3 linked regions of the Macaca fascicularis genome follow. The protein of the gene in region 1 interacts with the protein of each later gene in a biochemical or structural test. Links are inferred from orthologs where the notes say so. Each region holds a gene or a part of one and is shown in the gene's direction. Other genes may lie near its edges.

Region 1 (6,330 bases):
CAGAGAGACATTAGCTTATAAAACATCATGTACTGTAAGATAACACTTTTGTAAAAGTAACATACATAGTACTTCAACTTCCAGCAATGGCCTACTGTTGTTTTCAATCAACCTTTCCACTACAGAGAACAACTGGACAAAATATAAAAACGTTAATGTACTGAAGAGCTACCAAGGAAGTGAGAATTTGTGAGTGCAAGATCTGGAAGAAAAAGGAAGCCACCAGAGGTGAGCCTGATATTTGTCATCATTTTTCCAAAGCTAAGGTGATTGCTGACTCTGAAAGCAGTGGCTGAAAAAGTGAGCAGAGCCTATGGTTGTCTCATGGGCCTTAGAAGGCCCATCAAAGAGAAGAGGCCCGAGTAAATAGCCCAGACTTTTGGATGGGACCATCAAGGACTAGCTAGGATTAAGGGTGAACTGGAAATAAATTAGCTTTCCCGAAGACTGAAGACCAGCTCTGAATAATCAATCTTACCTCCTTATTGGAATAAGGTGATCTGTCTTCAGTCTAGCTGGGGTCAGGCAAACTTGCCCTCAAGTCTCTCCTGGTGAACACACCTTCCCTTTCCCCAGCCACATTGCTCAAACTCAACTCTGATCTTAGTAAACACATCGCGGGAGAATGCTGATGCAGCAGAGTGAAGTCCAGGACAAATGAACATTGCATAACCTAGGATTCAGGTAGAGTGGTCCTCTGTCTTCTCCTCTTCCCTGGGACATTTATAAATGTACTAATCTACCTCATCTCTTTTACCTTGCTTCTTGGCATATGTTTTAAATCTATCTACTATTCTGTGACCCCTGCTAGGCTGGCTTCAGTTTTTCTTTTGAAGCCACTACTCCATTTGCTCCCCCAAAGAATTCCATCAAATTTAACATTAACAATCATTTGCTCCAAGTTTTCGTTTGAGAGCACTTGAGAGTAAAACGAGTATTTGTGTTTCATGTAGTTTCTTAATTATTATTATTATTATTATTATTATTGAGGCAGGGTCTCACTCCGGTTGCCCAGGCTGGAGTGTAGTGGTGCGATCTCGGCTCACTGCAGCCTCATCGTCAACTCCGGGCTCAGGTGATTCTCCCACCTCAGCCTCCCCAGTAGCTGGAACTTCAGGCGCCCGTCACCACCCCCGGCTAATTTTTGTATTTTTAGTAGAGACGGGGTTTCGCGATGTTGCCCAGGCTAGTCTCAAACTCCTGGTCTCAAGTATTCCACCGGCCTAGGCCTCCCAAGGTGCTGGGATTACAGGTGTGAGCCACTGCACCCGGCACTTAATTATTTTTGATACTACTCATACATTATCAAGCAAAGGGGATGGGACATAACTAAAAAAGGAATGTCCAGAAGCTTCTTGCATTCATGCTGCACGTGAGCCCTTTAGACACGAGGCGCTGACCTACTAATTTTGTAATACTCCCTCAGTCTTCAATCATTCCATCATTCATTCCATCAACGCGTATTAGTTACCTACTTTGTTAGAAGCTATACAGAGGTGAACATCGATCCGCCCTGGAAGAGCTTAGCAAAGACAGGTTTGCACATATAACTTTCTCCAACCTTTGTTATGGTCTGCAAACCTCCTTCTTAGCGAGACCCTCTCCTCTCCCCGATCCCCGACTCTTCGCAGGCTGGGCGAGAATCGCTAGGAACGTGCGGCGAGAGAGCGTTACAAGACTACGTCTCCCGGCAGCCTCTGCGGCAAGCGCCGGAGGGGCGCGCGTAGGCGCTCGGGCCGGCCCCCGCACGCAGGCGCACTGCGAACGCCGGCAGAGCTGAGTCTTGCTGCTAGGTGCGCGGCGGCGGAGAGCGAGGCCTGCTGAGCACCGCCGAGGCGCGGGCCAGCTCTTCGAGGTTGTGCGCGGGGAGCGGCACGGCGGGCGGGCGAGCGAGGGCTCACTTCAGCGGTGGCACCGGGATCGGTTGCCTTGAGCCTGGTGAGTGCGGGGGCTTTGCGGCCTCGGCCCCTCCCCCTCCCGCCGGCAGATCCGGGCAGTCCGGGAGGGACTCGGGGGAGGCCCTGGGGCGAGGGCGGGCGCCGGCCGGGCCTCGAGCCGCGGTGCCTGGGCCCGGACGCTCGGCCCGCGTCCGTGCGTCACGGGCCCTGCTGTCCTAACGGCCGCGCGGCCGGCGGAGGAGAGGGTGGGGGTGGGGAGCCCTGGTGTGATCGCCATCGGGAACGCCGGTCGAGGCGGGGCGGGGCGGCGTGGCGCGGCGGCAGGGCTGTAAGCGGCGCCGGGGACTGCGGAGTGCCGAGGCAGCGGGCGGAGAGGAGGCGAGCGCGGAGCCTGCGCCGTGGCTGGGCGGCGGGCGGGAGGCGGGGGTGGGCCGTGCAGAGCGCTCTGACAGAGGCAGGAAGGAGCAGGGGTGGCGTGTAAAATTTCTAACCCTGGCAAGAAGGGACCGTCTTGGGAATTCACAAGTTACAGCCCGGGTCGGAGCCGGCGGCCCGGAGGGAGGTAGGGGAAGCGGGGCGGGGGCGCGGGGAGGTGGAGACGACCGGCTGCAGTTTACAGATGTCATAACAACAGGGGCCTGTAGCGGCTGATTGGGGGTGTGGTAATTACAGGAATGACAGAACTTGGTCTGCACACCGCGTGTTAAAGTGGCGATGCGAGGGAAACAGCTAGGTATCAGATTAAGCTCACAACTGGAGGATAAAACTGAAGGATGACTGGAGTCAAGGGAGTCGTCATGAAGTAATGTTTTTGGGATTGGGTCATGTTCCACTTTTAAGTGAAAGCGTTCAAAATATTTCGTTTTTAAGGTTTCAACTCGGAACAAACGATTGCCGAATTTTTGTGTTTTAAAGAGATGGGGTCTCGCTATATTGCCCAGGCTGTACTCCCAACTCCTGAGCTCAAACTGGCCTCCTGCCTTGGCCTCCCAAGTAGCTGGGACTAGTCTCGGGCAACCACACCCAGCAATGCAGAGTATTTTTTTTTTCTGAAACGGGTACTCTCAAGTAATATTAACTTGAATTTCACCGTTTTTTCTTAAATAAACGGTTGCTTAAAAATCTCTATTAGTAGATAAGGTGATTTCCCCCCTCCTGTTTTTTTTTTCTTAAGAGATGGAGTCTAGCTTTGTTTCCCTGGCTGATCTGGAACTCCTGGCCTCAAGGCATCCCCCCCATTACCTGGAACTACAGGCGGGTGCCACCAACAAGGCTCATTCTCGACACTGTTTTTTTCTTAACTAGCTTTTGCATTTGTAATATTTTGAAAGCAGTCCACAAGTTATTTTTCCCTCCTTTTTAAAGATTAAAGAGATGAAAATTTAATTTTTCAAAGGAAAGTAAGAATGATTACTGTTGTATTTTTACTGAAATAATATATTCCTGGAAGGCACTGTTTTATGGATAGATGAGATGTAAGAGAAAGTAAAGGAATTAACATTTATTGAGTTCTTTTTCAGGTATTGTGTTAAATGCTTTATATATATATTAAAAACATTTAAATCTGAAATATCTGTTAATTTTTCTATTTTACAGATGAAAGCATTGACAATCAAATGTTAAGTAACTTACCTGAGGTCTTCTAGCTCTTATTGAGAACAACCTTAGAACCCAAAGTTACTGCCATTTAAATTATTTCTCTCCTTTCATACTTTTTCGTTGTGTTTTCTTTATTTAATCCGTTCAATCAGCGAATACTTATAGAGTGATCTTCTAGATTTGGAGGGATATAGTCGCGATCAAAACTCACTGTCACTGTTCTCATGGAATTTATAGTGTAGCGGGGAAAGCTAATATTACAAATATTGACTGCATAACATTTTATCAGTTATAGTTGAGTAGCAACTGTAAAGCACTCTACTAAATAGTAAAGGCAGTTGAAATGGAAGCAGACAACATAAGCCTTGAGGAATTTACAGTCCTGTAGGGCAACAAAACATACATTTATAAAAACCTAGAATAAACTAAATGGGAAAGGTATCACCTGAAATCACTGTTCTTGCATTATGTTATTTTTTATTTTATTATTTTTTGGGGGGGGGTGTGGAGGACTTGCTCTGTTGCCCAGGCTGGAGTGCAGTGATGAGATCTGGGCTCCCTGCAGGCTCCCTGCAATCTCCGCCTCCTTGGTTCAAGCAGTTCTCCTGCCTGAGACTGCTGGGACTACAGGCGCATACGGCCACACCCGGCTAATTTTTTGTATTTTAGTATAGATGGGGTTTCACCGTCTTGCCCAGGCTGGTCTCGAACGCCTGAGCTCACGCGGTCCGCCCTCCTCGGCCTTCTGAAGTGCTAGGATTACAGGCATGAGCCACTGCGCCCAGCTGCATTATGTTACTTTATAAAGTGGTTCTCATAGAAGTTTCTTCACAGAACTATGATTTAATATACATCTTATCTAGAACTGATACATACCAAAAGGGGCCATGAAAAACATTTTCTTCATTTATATCTAATGAAGAAATTTCTAATTTATTTATTGGTTCCTATAAAATACAGACCTTGGAGACAAATTCTTCCTAAGACCCCAGTATTAAGCTTTTTTTTTTTTAAACAGATGACTGGTTTTATTAGATTGTTTTGTAAGCCATCCTGTTTCTCCATACTTTTGACTGTCAGGAGGCTCAGAGCTGTGTTCAATTTTTATAATTTTCTTTAGTCTCAACTATGTTAAAAATTATTTTATACGTAATCTGGAATTGCTGTCAGTTGTTTCCTGGATTATTTTCTTTATTCTCTGTTGCTCTCGATGGTCCTTTTCCCTTTACATTTGAGAATAGGATTATATCCTATTGTTTTCATCTTCAGTGTTTTAGCAGTGTTTGTTGAATTAATGATAAAATAGAGTTTTAATGATTTATGAAGTCTGTGCTTTTAAGTCTGCCAGATTGTTTTTAGATGTATGAATACTGTGTATAAAATCAATTAAGACCTTTGATTGGTCTTGCAAGTAAAGATGACTGACCTAGTGATAAAAGATAACGCCTTGTTTTGTTTTAAGGTATCTTTGTACTTTGCATGGTGTTATGAATTTAGCCATAATACGGAAGAAAACATTGGAAGTGGTGAATAGTTAATTAGCTGATTTGGGCTGATTTCTCTCTTTTGCTGTGGTAAGCAGGAGATGGCCTCAGGCCAACTGGAGACCAGATAGGGCCAGCATTAGAAAATTTTGGAAATTTTGGAAACATTGGAAGAGTAGGGATGAAGACTATGGGAATGTATGTTTCTTTCTTTTTTTTTAAGATGTTACAAATCTACAAAACAGAACATGAAAAAATGGTTCTGTCCAAGTGCTGTAGACTAATTCGGACAGTTCTTGAAAGCAGGCAGTAATCCAGAATGTGGATAATGGGGATAATCTCCTTCATATAACAACAGTAATGCTGCCCTTCATATACAAAGATAAGTCTGCTTACTCATCATGATTGATTTTCTAGTGTGAGGAGGGATATGTGCTGAGTTGTCCATGAGTCCCTATATAGTCTGTGAGCAGCGAGGCAGCTTGGGGTCAGAATAGGCGTTTGCAGCTGAGGAACAGAAAGACCTGCCGAAAATACTATCTGTTGATGGGTCGGGTTCTGCATCAGTTGCTTTCACTTAATTGTTCTTGCAAAACCATTTTGAGGTGGTGATTACGTGTGCAAGGTGATTGGGTAACTTGCCTTACTTCACAAAGTAGTGAAGTTGGGATTCAAGTAGGGCTGTTTGTACTGTGTTCACATTGATCGTTAAAGATTGGTTTTAGCCGTTCAGTCTCTTTGGCAAAACAAACTAGATGTAGTTTGTTTAACACCATGAAATAATACTGAAAATATAACCATCGTGAGATTGTTCAAGTTCCTTGTTTTGTCAACATTAAAAAAATAAAAATTTAAAATTAGAATACCTGAAAAAGCAGCTGTTCCTTGTCTCAGCCTCTGCACTTGAGAAGCTACCATTTTCTTTCTCCTGTTTCTTATGTTTGCTTTCATATTTACAAATACAGTGACTTGCTTTTACTGCTATTTCATGATACAGCAATTATAGATATTATTGGCTTTCTTCTAAGTAAGATGATCCTTAGTGTTTCACATATATATTCACCTCACCTGTCACATGCACACACTGACTCTGCCATCCTCCAAATATAGTTACAGGTGTTTATTAAACCAATATTTAGTGTTTACAATATTACAACTATATAAATGTTCACAGCTGACCCATGTAGAGTACTATGATATCATTTCTTCTCTTGATAAATTTTTGTTTTTCTAGAAGTTAGTATTTTTTGTTGTTGTTTGCTTCATTTTGTGAGACAGCTAACCTAGAACCTCTTAATGCAATTAGGACTAGTTACTTTCTAGTCCTATTTCATAGTTGTTTTCCTGGG
Region 2 (6,230 bases), on another chromosome or scaffold:
TCTCGAATTCCTGACCTCAAGTGATATGTCTGCCTTGGCCTTCCAAAGTGCTGGGATTACAGGTGTGAGCCACTGTGCCTGGCCTAGAAAAAATGACTTTCAAACAACCTAAATGTAGAGCCTTCCACAGGACAGCATTGATGGATGAAACTCTTTACCATGTAACATCCCAACAAAGCCACAGCTATAGTAGAAGACTCAGTACACCTCCCAGAAATGCTCTAAGAGATTATAATATATAACATAGATTTGAATAATACACCTAATAATTGGTATGTTTATAATACATAGTTTTACATCCCCAAGACCAAAAATGCATGTTTGTGTGAAACACTCATGGTTACAAATACATATTAGGCCACCAAAAAAAACCCCAAGTTTCATAAAGTAGAAATTATACAGACACATTCTCTGCTAAACATTTTTTAATGGAAATTAAGAACAAAGTCAAGAAAACTGAAGTGTGCTTACTTTAGAAAGCAAAGATCTCAAGGTAGATGGAATAAATATTTAACTCAGAACACTAGGGGAGGAAAACCCTAAAAAGGGTGAAGAAAAATAATTTTGTAAGATTATAGCTCAATGAAATGAAAATAAATTTGACAAATTAAGCTAAGAGCTGATTATTTGTGGGTAAAAAATAGTAAAATAGAAAGTTCTGGGAAGCCAGGTGAAGAATGCAAGGATGTACAAATAAGAGTATGAATAGAAAAGGGAATATTTCCTACACATTGGAGATTTTAAAAGTCAAGAAAGACTTATAACTTAATTCCTATAGAGAGAGATGACACTGGCTATTTTCCAAGAAAAGATTAAATGCCAAAAAGATAGAAAATATGAATAGACCAGTGGCCATAAGAAGTTGAAAAAGTGGGCTGGGCTCAACCTGCAATCCCAGCACTTTGGGAAGCCAAGGAAGAGGGATCACTTGAGGTCAGGAGTTCGAGACCAGCCTGGCCAACATGGTGAAACCCTGTCTCTACTAAAAATACAAAACTGGCGGGGCATGGTGGCACATGCCTGCAGTCCCAGCTACTCAGGAGCCTGAGGCAGGAGAATTGCTAGAACCTGGGGAGGTGGAGGCTGCAGTGAACTGAGATTGCACCACTGCACTCCAGCCAAAAAGTTGAAAAAGTGGCTAAGATCTGGTTCATCTCAGAACATTTAAGTCCAAACGATTTTAGTGGCTGAATTGTCTCCCCTTCAAAATTCAGTTACATTGTTAAACTGTTCCAGAGCCTAGAGAAATACAGAAATCTTCCCACTGTGTTCTTTGAAACCAACATACTCTGATACTGAGATCAGACAAGGACAGTACCAAAACCAGGCAGGTACTAACAGCGTGCTAGACCAGTCTCACTTAGATGCAGAAAACAAATAAAATTTAATAATCCAAATCCAGTAGTGATTGAAAGGAATGTCTTGATCCATGACCAAGTAGATTTTATTCTAGGAGCACAAAATTCTACATTAAGATTAAGTAGAGTTAAGGTTGACTTTTTTTTTTTTTTTTTTTTTTTGAGACGGAGTCTTACTCTGTCACCCAGGCTGGAGTGCAGTGGCCGGATCTCAGCTCACTGCAAGCTCCGCCTCCCGGGTTTACGCCATTCTCCTGCCTCAGCCTCCCGAGTAGCTGGGACTACAGGCGCCCGCCACCTCGCCCGGCTATTTTTTTTGTATTTTTTAGTAGAGACGGGGTTTCACCGTGTTAGCCGGGATCGTCTCTCAATCTCCTGACCTCGTGATCCGCCCGTCTCGGCCTCCCAAAGTGCTGGGATTACAGGCTTGAGCCACCGCGCCCGGCCGACTTTTTTTTTTTTTTAAGACGGAGTCTCACTCTGTCAACCAGGCTGGAATGCAGTGGCACGATCTCGGCTCACTGCAAGCTGTGCCTCCCGGGTTCACACCATTCTCTGCCTCAGGCTCCCGAGTAGCTGGGACTACAGGCGCCTGCCACCAACGCCTAGCTAATTTTGTTTTTGTATTTTTAGTAGAGATTGGGTTTCACCGTGTTAGCCAGGATGGTCTCGATCTTCTGACCTTGTGATCCCCCCTACCTCGGCCTCCCAAAGTGCTGGGATTACAGGCGTGAGCCACTGCGCCCGGCCTGAGTTAAGGATGACTTTTAAACAACCTAAATGTAGCTAAATATAGAGCCTTCTGCAGGACAGCATTGATGGGTGGAACTCTTTACCACATGATAACATCCCAACAAAGCCACAGTTATGGTGGAACTCAGTCCACCTGAGTCTTACCATTATAAGATGATAATAATAGGTAACATTTGTTAAATAATTACCATGTACTTTGTCCTAATACTTAATGTATTCTTTTACTGCTCACATCAACTCTGAAGGAAAGGTACCACATCCCCTTAAAAGAAAACAACTATTTCTATTCTATTCTTTTATTTTTTTTAGAGACAGAATCTCACTCTGTCGCCCAGGCTGGAGTGCAGTGGCACGATCTCGGCTCACCGCAACTTCTGCCTCCTAGGTTCAAGTGGTTCTCTTGCCTCAGCCTCCCGAGTAGCTGGGTCTACAGGTGCGCGCCACCATTCCCAGCTAATTTTTGTATTTTAAGTCAAGATGGGGTTTCACCATATTGGCCTGGATGGTCTTGATCTCTTGATGTCATGATCCACCCGCCTTGGCCTCCCGAAGTGTTGGGATTACAGGCGTGAGCCACCGCACCCAGCCTCTATTCAATTCTATTTTGTTCTATTTCTATTACAAGCCAGTAAGCAAGAAAATATAATAATTTATAAGGAACCCTATAAAAAACGAACAAGCCAACGGTCCCTCATTAGGGAGTATGCCTGAATAAGAAGCTGAAGATTTTCAGATACAGGCTTCAGGCAACATTGTCTTTAGAGGCTAAGCTCTGGCTCCAGCTCCCTCCAGCATCCTGTGAATAACAGGCAGGCTTACTTGCAGGTGCCGCTTTCCTGGACAGTGGTGGTTAAAGGACAAGGCCCAGAAAGTGCTGAATTAGGTGCCCTTGTTATCAGCAATGTCATATTGATCACGCTGTCTTAGAGCTCTTTCGACATCTTGGCTCTGCAGCTTTTTTTTTTTTTTTTTTTTTTTTAAATCTTTTTTCTTGAGATAGGGTGTTGCTTTGGATAGTAGGGTATCCAGGCCAGAGTGCAGTGGTATGATCATGGCTCACTGTAGCCTTGACCTCCTAGACATAAGTGATCCTCCCACCTCAGCCTCACAAGTAGCTGGGACCCCATGCACCCACCATCATGCACAGTTAATTTTTGTGTTTTTTGTAGAGATGGGGTTTCGCCGTGTTGCCCAGGCTCATCTCAAACTCCTGGGCCCAAGCTGTCCTCCCACCTTAGCCTCCCAAAGTGTTTGGTTTACAGGCATGAGCCACTGTGCTTAGCCTGAGTCCCTCTTTTAAACAAACAAAATGGTAAATGGAAAGGAGGAAAGGCTTAAGAAAAAAGATTGAAGCACAGATTTGTTGCAAGCAAGGAATAATAAAGGGCAGTTCATTTAGAGAAAGGCATATGACCACCTTTCCCCGTCTCCAGTCAGAATCTAGAAAGTGATTGAGGCTGGGCGCAGTGGCTCACCCCTGTAATCCCAGCACTTTTGGGAGGCCAAGGTGGGCGGATCACAAGGTCAGGAGATCGAGACCATCCTGGATAACATGGTGAAACCCAGTCCCTACTAAAAATCCAAAAAATTAGCCAGGCCTGCTGGTGGGCGCCTGCAGTCCCAGACTGAGGCAGGAGAATGGTGTGAACCTGGGAGGCGGAGCTTGCAGTGAGCTGAGATTGTGCCATTGCACTCCAGCCTGGACGGCACAGTGAGACTGTATTCCCCCAAAAAAAAAGTGATTGAGAAAATCAGGTCTGTGTGACCTTAGCAATGAGTTGTTTAGCTTGGGCCACTGTTAGCTTAAGTCAATAACTTCAAGTTTGCGTTGTAGTTGGAATCAATAGAGGAAAAGCTCTCAGCATTACCACATATATCAGAATGTGACATTGATTGCCAGATCAGCCTTATCCAAACACAAGTTCTAGGCTTTTTGCCCTGTTTATCAGCTTTATTTGCTGAGGGTATTTGATGAGTCTTAGGGAAAAAAGAACAGCCCTGGGAACACAGCTGCTTTTATGATGAGACATGTTTGCACCCATACCTTAATGGGTTTTGGTGGCAATATTCTGAAATTTGCCACCAGCGTTTCAAAGATTTGCCCTTAGGGTGAATTACTGCTGTAGTAGAAGTGGGTGGAGGCTGAGGAGATTGGATTAAGCAGGTAGAGGAGTTCTCAGTGCATGGATCGTTCTGAGGATGGAGATAGAGCTCTAAGACATCCACAGGCCTTTCCTGAGTGATCAGCTTTGGCTCCTGGGCAGGGAAATTGAGCTGGATCCTAGTGTGGGAGCACGCTTGTCATCTTCCTTCTTTTTCCCCAGTACCACGCGGAGACCATCAAGAATGTGCGCACAGCCACGGAAAGCTTTGCTTCTGACCCCATCCTCTACCGGCCCGTTGCTGTGGCTCTGGACACTAAAGGACCTGAGATCCGAACTGGGCTCATCAAGGGCGTGAGTATTCTGTGGAGAGCGAGGGAAAGACTCAGTAGGCAATATGCCCCAGAGACATGTCCTCCAAAGCGTTGAGATGCCGTGTTTCATCCCAGCACTATGAAGGACTGTAGAGGAGTTGAGGTCTACAAATGAGGATTTATTCATCACTGTAAACAATGTTGATTTGATTTACTTTGCTAGGAAATGGTACCACAGAGGAACCCTTTTTTTACCCTAAAAACCTAAACTTTAGGCTTTCTAACTTGGGGAACCATCTCTTTGTATCTTTTTCCCCATCATTAAGTAGCATAACTGAAACATTATATTCTATTTTCTTAGATTATTTCTGTGAAGTGTACTGAGTTAGAGAATAAGAGCAAAAAACTGTATTATTTTTAGCGGTGACTTGAGCATTGTTCCCTGGAGGAAAGAGCTTTTCCATTGCTTCTGCGGTGATGCTGCTACTGGTGTCTCCAGTTTGGACTCTGGCTTACTCTCTTGCTTACTCCCTAGAGCGGCACTGCAGAGGTGGAGCTGAAGAAGGGAGCCACTCTCAAAATCACGCTGGATAACGCCTACATGGAAAAGTGTGACGAGAACATCCTATGGCTGGACTACAAGAACATCTGCAAGGTGGTGGAAGTGGGCAGCAAGATCTACGTGGATGATGGGCTTATTTCTCTCCAGGTGAAGCAGAAAGGTACGTATGGGAGCTGGAATCCAATTGTCTAAAACCCATCTTTTGTCTCTAAAGTTCCTTGACACAAGGAAGATGGGAAGGTTGGTTGCCTGGCAGTGACATTGAGTCTGTGTGTTCTCAGGAATCCCTTTTATAACTCATTTATCCTCAAAGACAGGCTTTAATCCAGCATAGTTACATTCTTCTGGTTCCGGAGAACATAGGAACATATATATATACACACATATATTTCTTTTTTGAGACAGAGTCTCGCTCTGTTGCCCAGGCTGGAGTGCAGTGGCACAATCTTGGCTCACTGCAACCTCTGCCCCCAGGGTTCTAGCGATTCTCCTACCTCAGCCTCCCGAGTAGCTGGGTTTACAGGCACCCGCCACCACGCCTGGCTAGTTTTTTTGTATTTTTAGTAGAGACGGGGTTTCACCATGTTGGCCAGGCTGGTCTCAAACTCCTGACCTCAAGTGATCTGCCTGCCTTGGCCTCCCAAAGTCAAAACAATCTTAATTCTCCTTTTTTATGGGTGTGGAAAGTGAGGTACAGAGAGGTTAAATGGCTTGCCTAGGATTACACAGTTAGTTGTAGTAGGGTTTCAACTCTGGTAAAACAGCTCCAGCACCCATAATGCACCACTTCCCAGCTCACTGTGCTTGGGGGAAAGGTGCCTGCTTCCTGTTGAGCTGTGCCCTCGGTACTCTGCCTCCCCTGCTTACCCCTTTTCAAAACACAGGTGCTGACTTCCTGGTGACGGAGGTGGAAAATGGTGGCTCCTTGGGCAGCAAGAAGGGTGTGAACCTTCCTGGGGCTGCTGTGGACTTGCCTGCTGTGTCGGAAAAGGACATCCAGGATCTGAAGTTTGGGGTCGAGCAGGATGTCGATATGGTGTTTGCGTCGTTCATCCGCAAGGCAGCTGATGTCCATGAAGTTAGGAAGGTCCTGGGAGAGAAGGGAAAGAACATCAAGATAATCAGCAAAATCGAGAATCAT
Region 3 (6,230 bases), on another chromosome or scaffold:
AAGTATTTTCAGGCCAGGTGCAGTGGCTCACACCTGTAATCCCAGCACTTTGGGAGGCTGAGGCAGGTGGATCACCTGAGGTCAGGAGTTCAAGACCAGCCTGGCCAACATGGTGAAACCCCATTTTTGCTAAAAATACAAAAAAATTAGCCAGGTGTGGTGGTGTGCACCTGTAATCCCAGCAACTTAGGAGGCTGAGGCAGGAGAATTGCTTGAACCCAAGAGGCAGAGGTTGCAGTGAGTTGAGATCACGCCATTGCACTCCAGCTTGGGCAACAAGAGCAAAAGTCCGTCTCAAAACAAAAGAATTTTCAAGCACAAAAAATAGGATGTGCCAGGCGCAGTGGCTCACACCTATAATCCCAACATTTTGGGAGGCCAGGAGTTCACTTGAGTCCAGGAGTTTGAGGCCAACCTGGGCAACATGGCAAAACCCCATCTCTACTAAAAATACAAAAATTAGTTGGGCGTGGTGGCACATGCCTGTAGTCCCAGCTACTCGGGTGGCTGAAGCAGGAGAATCACTTGAGCCCAGGAGGTCAACGCGGCAGTGAGCTGTGATTGTACCACTGCACTCCAGCCTGGACAACAGAGCGAGTCCCTGTCTCAAAAAAAAAAAAAAAAAAAAAAAAAAAAAAAAAAAAAAAGATGCTAGATTAAAAATGGGTGGCAGAGAGGGAAGTGGAACAGAAATACAAGTTCAAAGAGAAAAACAGGACATGTACAATTTTCTGCTGTTAAAGCAGAGCTTTTTCTTGCATTTTTCAAATGGTCTCAAATCATTACAGTATTTAGATTCCATTAGCTACACATTTACGTTGCTGGAAATTGTATCCTTTGCAACTGTTTAAGCTTGGGAGAATTTTTAGGTGGCAACTTAGAGATGAGTGAGACTAGTATATAATGTTACTAGATTCTTTCTTTGTTTCCTTCCTTCCTTCCTTCTTTCTTTCCTTTCTTTTTTTTTTTTTCTTTTCTTTTCTTCTTTCTTTGTCTCACTGTGTCACCAGGCTGGAGTCCAGTGGTGCAATCTCAGCTCGCTGCAACCTGCACCTCCTGGGTTCAAGCGATTCTTCTGCCTCAGCCTCCCGAATAGCTGGGATTGCAGGCCTGCACCACGCCCAGCTAATTTTTGTATTTTTAGTAGAGATGGGGTTTCACCATGTTGGCCAGAATGATCTTGATCTCTTGGCCTCATGATCTGCCCCCACCTCGGCTTCCCAAAGTGTTGGGATTACAGGTGTCAGCCACTGCACCTGGCCATCAACTTATTTCTTTTTAAATTTAATAGAGATGGATCTTGCTGTGTTGCCTAGGCTCATCTCTATCTTGTGGACTCAAGCAGTCCTCTTGCTTCGGCCTCCCAAAGTTTTGGGATTACAGGCGTGAGCCCTGAGCCTGGCTCTGAATCCTTTTAAGGGATAAAAAAGCATGCAGGGGCAGGCGCGGTGGCTCACGCCTGTAATCCCAGCACTTTGGGAGACTGAGGTGGGTGGATCATCTGAGGTCAGGAGTTCAAGACCAGCCTGGCCAACAGGGTGAAACCCCATCTCTACTAAAAATACAAAAAAATTAGCCAGGTGTGGTGGCAGGCACCTGTAATCCCTGCTATTTGGGAGGCTGAGGCAGGAGAATCGCTTGAACTTGGGAGGCGGAGGTTTCAGTGAGCCAAGATCATGCCATTGCACTCCAGTCTGGGCAACATGAGCGAAACTCCATCTCAAAAAAAAAAAAAAAAAAAAAAAAGTCAATTTTATGGTATGTGAATTAAGTCTCAATAAAGTCTTTTAAAAGGGTGGGGCTTGCACTCAAGTATGGGGAATGATCAAAGGTATCAAAGTAGGGTGGCAAGATGTTGACAGGTGCTGGACCTCAGGACATGGGTACATGGGGTTCCTTACGCTATTCTGGTTTTGTATGTGTTTGAAAACTTACAGAATAAAGTTTTGCTTTTTGAATTGAGCTCCAGGATTCTGGGGTCTTCTCTTCCTCCTTTACCCGCAGTGGGAGTGGAGGTAGCTCTTCCCCTAGCCACAGAGCCCTACTCTGACCTGCCCTCTGATTGGTCGATCTGAGATATAATCACAGACGCTAGATCCAATCGCTAGTGGACTGGTACGCAGCGATTGGGTCAAGCCTTGGCTAAGTGCCAAGCCTTGAGCCAATCACGGGGCTGGTCCACGCCTTGGCCTCAGTCAGAGCCTACAGATAGGAGAAGGGAAGGGAAGGTGGAGTGGATTCATCAACAGTAGTGGCCCCCTTAGTGTCTTTTTTTTTCTGCCTCCATTAAATGGCACAGCCACCACCCCAGCTAATCTGAAGTAGTGGGTAGAATTTGAACCCTGGATCCCCACCCTCTTCCCTCCAAACAAAGAATTCTGTTGGTAAAGGTGCTATTTTCATATATAAATGAGTCTAGGTGAGTCTGGAAGGGGGACTTCCAGGAGGAGGCCTGGTGACCACATGCCCTCCCTCTCCTCCACCTCACCCCGCTTCTCCACCTCCGCTTTCCCATCGAGGGGGCAGATCAGCTCTGAGGGCTGTAGAGTCATCGAGGGGGCAGATCAGCTCTGAGGGCTGTAGAGGTCTTCCCTGTGCTGCCTGCCTCCGGTCACCACAGCCCTGCCACTGTCCCTTCCTCCCCAGGATGACACGGCACGGCAAGAACTGCACCGCGGGGGCCGTCTACACCTACCACGAGAAGAAGAAGGACACAGGTGCAGGGCTAGGGCAGGGCGGGGCATGGATGTGTCTTGGAGTCACCATCTCCCCTCGTGCCGGATGTCTGTCTCCCGCCCCCGACACACACTGATGGCCATGACCATGTAAACAACAGCCGGGTGATCCCACGCCCCCATGTGGCCTGGCACTGTGTTCCCTGCCTTCTGCGCATGAACTCACTCCTCCCAACAAGAGTGTCAGGGATGGCGCTGTTGTTACCCCATGCTCCAGAAGAAGAAACTGAGGCCCAAAGAGGGACAGGCACTAGAGCTTGGTCACAGCCAGAAGGGTGGAGGGGAGTCAGCCGTCAGCCCCTCCACTGAGCTGCCACTCAGTGACCAGGCCTGTTTGCCTCTCACCCTCCAGGGTTGACACCTCCCTGTGGGTTCAGCCCATGGCCCCAGCACACAGACAGCGGCTCCCAACTGCCTGTTTCTCTCTGAGTCCCCCACCCCCACCACCCCGTTGTCTCTCTGCCTCTCTCTCTGGGGCTTTGGAGACGGGCATGTCTCCTGTCGCTCTGCCCCTCCATCACTCTGCCCCTCTCTGTCCCCAGCGGCCTCAGGCTATGGGACCCAGAACATTCGACTGAGCCGGGATGCCGTGAAGGACTTCGACTGCTGTTGTCTGTCCCTGCAGCCTTGCCACGATCCTGTTGTCACGTGAGCTGGGAACAGGGATGGGTAGGTCTGGGTGGGGAGGGCAAGGGAACCACCAGGAGGAGGCTGTGTGTGTGGGCCTGGCCACCTGCACAGCCAGGGAACCCTGGACGAGCAGTTTATCCTCAGAGCCTCTGTTTTCTGACCTGGGACATGGGCATGATCCTAGTGTCTGTTTCATAGTGTGGAACAGATGGAAAGGAACATATTCCTAATGGGGTGTAGGGCTCTTGGAGCACTGCCGAGGCCATCACAGCAGCTCACCTTCGGACACTTCCCATGACCTGCCTGTGATGGTAGGACAAAGGCTTAACGGGTGCTGAGTCCAGGCACTAAATACGTGCTCAATTAGTGGTATATTTTGTAGAAGACAGTAATGATCAGGGCCCCCAAGGCCACCTTCAGTTTCTTTTTTTCTTTTTCTTTTTTTTTTTGAGACAGAGTCTTCACTTTGTTGTCCAGGCTGGAGTGCAATGAGGAGATCTTGGCTCACTGATCTCCCAGGCTCAGATGATCCTCCTGCCTCAGCCCCCTGAGTAGCTGGAACCACGGGGGTGCACTACCACACCTGGCTTTTTTGTTTGTTTTTTGTAGACAGGGGATCTCACTTTGTTGCCCAGGCTGGTCTCGAACTCCTGGCTGCAACAACATGTGGCACACATTGTTGCTGCGAGAATGAAGCACTTTCCCTGCAACTCTATTGGGAGAGGACAGCTGCAAGCTGAAATCTGGTCTCTATTAGATTCTGCCCCACGTGCCTTTTTCCTTTGCTGATTTTAGTCTGCATCCTTTCACTGCAGTGAACTATCACCATGAGTGTAACAGCTTTGCTGAGTTCTGTGAATTCTAGCGAATAATTGAACTTGGGGCTGATCATGATGGCTCCTGCCTGTAATCCCAGCACTTCAGGAGGCCGAGGCGGGAGGATCACTTTCTTTCTTCCTCATTGCACCCTGTCTTTGCAGCCCAGATGGCTACCTGTATGAGCGTGAGGCCATCCTGGAGTACATTCTGCACCAGAAGAAGGAGATCGCCCGGCAGATGAAGGTGATGGGGATGGGGAGAAGGAGGCACAGGCAGGCAGGAGCTTTTGAGTCTGAGCTCACAGGCAGAGCCACTTGGAGCCCTCCAGTCTCAGTTCCCTCTGCCTGGTACACCATTCCCCTCCTGCTTCCGGCCAAATCCTCCTCACCGATTTCAGCCCAGGTGCTGCCTCCTCTGAGCTCCTGCCAGTCCCCTGGATCTGCCCCAGTCACCTCTTCTGTTAGCACTTGGCATAGTTGTAACTCTACCTGTGGCTGTCTGACACACGCCCACTTTCCCTTCTGGACTTCGAGTTTTCCCCCCTGTGGCTTAGGTCCTTAGTAAAGATGTGCTAAATGGGCCGGCAGTGGTGGCTCACACCTGTAATCCCAGCACTTTGGGAGGCCGAGGCAGGCGGATCACTTGAGGTCAGGAGTTAGAGGTCAGCCTGGCCAACATGGTGAAACCCTGTCTCTACTAAAAATACAAAAAAAAAAAAAAAATTAGCTGGGCATAGCAGGTGCCTGTAATCCCAGCTATTCAGGAAGCTGAGGCAGGAGAATCGCTTGAACCCGTGAGGTAGAGGTTGCAATGAGCTGAGATGGCATCACTGCACTTCAGCCTGGGTGACAAAGCGAGATTCTGTTTAAAAAAAAAAAGAAAAAAAAAAAAAAAGATGTGCTAAATGAATCGACATCACTTCATTTTTCTGGGCTTCAGTTTCATCATCTGTAAAATGGGCTGACAGGGCCAAATCAGAGGACACAGCAGGGAACCTGGGAGGTGCAGGCAGATGAGCATTCTCAAGGCGTTTTACTGGGAACCTGGCCTGGCCTTCCATGGACAAAGCCATTTGATGGGTAGGAGGGGCCCTGTTTATCCCCATTTGAGGCACAGTGGGTCTGTCCCCCTCTTCCCCTGCCTGTTTGTTGGCACTGAGGAAACACTACAGGTCATGTGCTTATTGGGCTTTTTGTCCTGAGCAAGTGGCTCCCCCGTGCCCATGTCCTCCACACAGCCTGGTTGTCATGTCGGAGGCCCTCCTGAGCATCCATCACTGTCACTGTTACCTCCTCACTCAGCTGGGTGGCCCAGGGTGGTCTCGAACTGCAGCACTGCCTAGGCACCTGCTGTGCGCCAGGCGGGCCTGAGCTCAGGATGTGGCTTCACTCCTCCCGTCCTCACTCCCTGCCCATCTGTAGACTGGGCTCCTCAGCATTCCCTTAGACCTGGAGTCTACATCCCCCGTCCCAAACACGGTCTGGGGCATGCACTGTATAGTAAACCTAATTGGCCAGCAGGTGACATTAATTAAACGCTTAGCTGAGTGCCAGGTGAGGCTCTCCATGCTTTAAACACTCACCTTATGTAACCTTCAGTGAGCCGCCGAGGTGGGTCACCACTGTTAGCCTGTTTTACAGATGAAGAAACTGAGGCCAGGAGCGGTCATAGTGCTCACTCAGGCCACAGAGTGACAGAGATGGGCTTTGAGTCTGGCGCTCTGGCTATACAACGCAGTAAGGTTCACACCCGCCCAGGCAGTTACCACCCTCTGCCAGATACTGCCTCCACTGTGTAGGCCTCAGTTTACCTACCTGTGAAATGAGAGGAAGATACCTCCAAACCCCGAGGGTGGTCCAAACCCACCCTCACGGGCAGATGCTCAGCCTACTTTCCGCCCCGCGCAGGCCTACGAGAAGCAGCGGGGCACCCGGCGGGAGGAGCAGAAGGAGCTTCAGCGGGCGGCCTCGCAGGACCATGTGCGGGGCTTCCTGGAGAAGGAGTCCGCCATCGTAAGCCGGCCTCTCAACCCTTTCACAGCCAAGG

What was found.
Region 2: the proteins of KPNA1 (region 1) and PKM form a complex in vitro, tested with the Homo sapiens proteins (2 studies listed by BioGRID). The link is inferred for Macaca fascicularis from reciprocal best matches to the Homo sapiens genes KPNA1 and PKM.
Region 3: the proteins of KPNA1 (region 1) and NOSIP form a complex in vitro, tested with the Homo sapiens proteins (2 studies listed by BioGRID). The link is inferred for Macaca fascicularis from reciprocal best matches to the Homo sapiens genes KPNA1 and NOSIP.

Annotation. Positions count from the first base shown.
Region 1 is NC_088376.1:160,731,038-160,737,367, forward strand, and holds the start of KPNA1 (importin subunit alpha-5), read left to right. Parts: upstream 1-1,772; 5' UTR 1,773-1,938; intron 1,939-6,330. UniProt on the Homo sapiens protein: Functions in nuclear protein import as an adapter protein for nuclear receptor KPNB1. Binds specifically and directly to substrates containing either a simple or bipartite NLS motif.
Region 2 is NC_088381.1:49,042,158-49,048,387, reverse strand, and holds part of PKM (pyruvate kinase PKM), read left to right. Parts: intron 1-4,435; coding exon 4,436-4,567; intron 4,568-5,062; coding exon 5,063-5,249; intron 5,250-5,973; coding exon 5,974-6,230. UniProt on the Homo sapiens protein: Catalyzes the final rate-limiting step of glycolysis by mediating the transfer of a phosphoryl group from phosphoenolpyruvate (PEP) to ADP, generating ATP.
Region 3 is NC_088393.1:57,524,732-57,530,961, reverse strand, and holds part of NOSIP (nitric oxide synthase-interacting protein), read left to right. Parts: intron 1-2,646; 5' UTR 2,647-2,647; coding exon 2,648-2,717; intron 2,718-3,277; coding exon 3,278-3,383; intron 3,384-4,345; coding exon 4,346-4,427; intron 4,428-6,091; coding exon 6,092-6,230. UniProt on the Homo sapiens protein: E3 ubiquitin-protein ligase that is essential for proper development of the forebrain, the eye, and the face. Catalyzes monoubiquitination of serine/threonine-protein phosphatase 2A (PP2A) catalytic subunit PPP2CA/PPP2CB.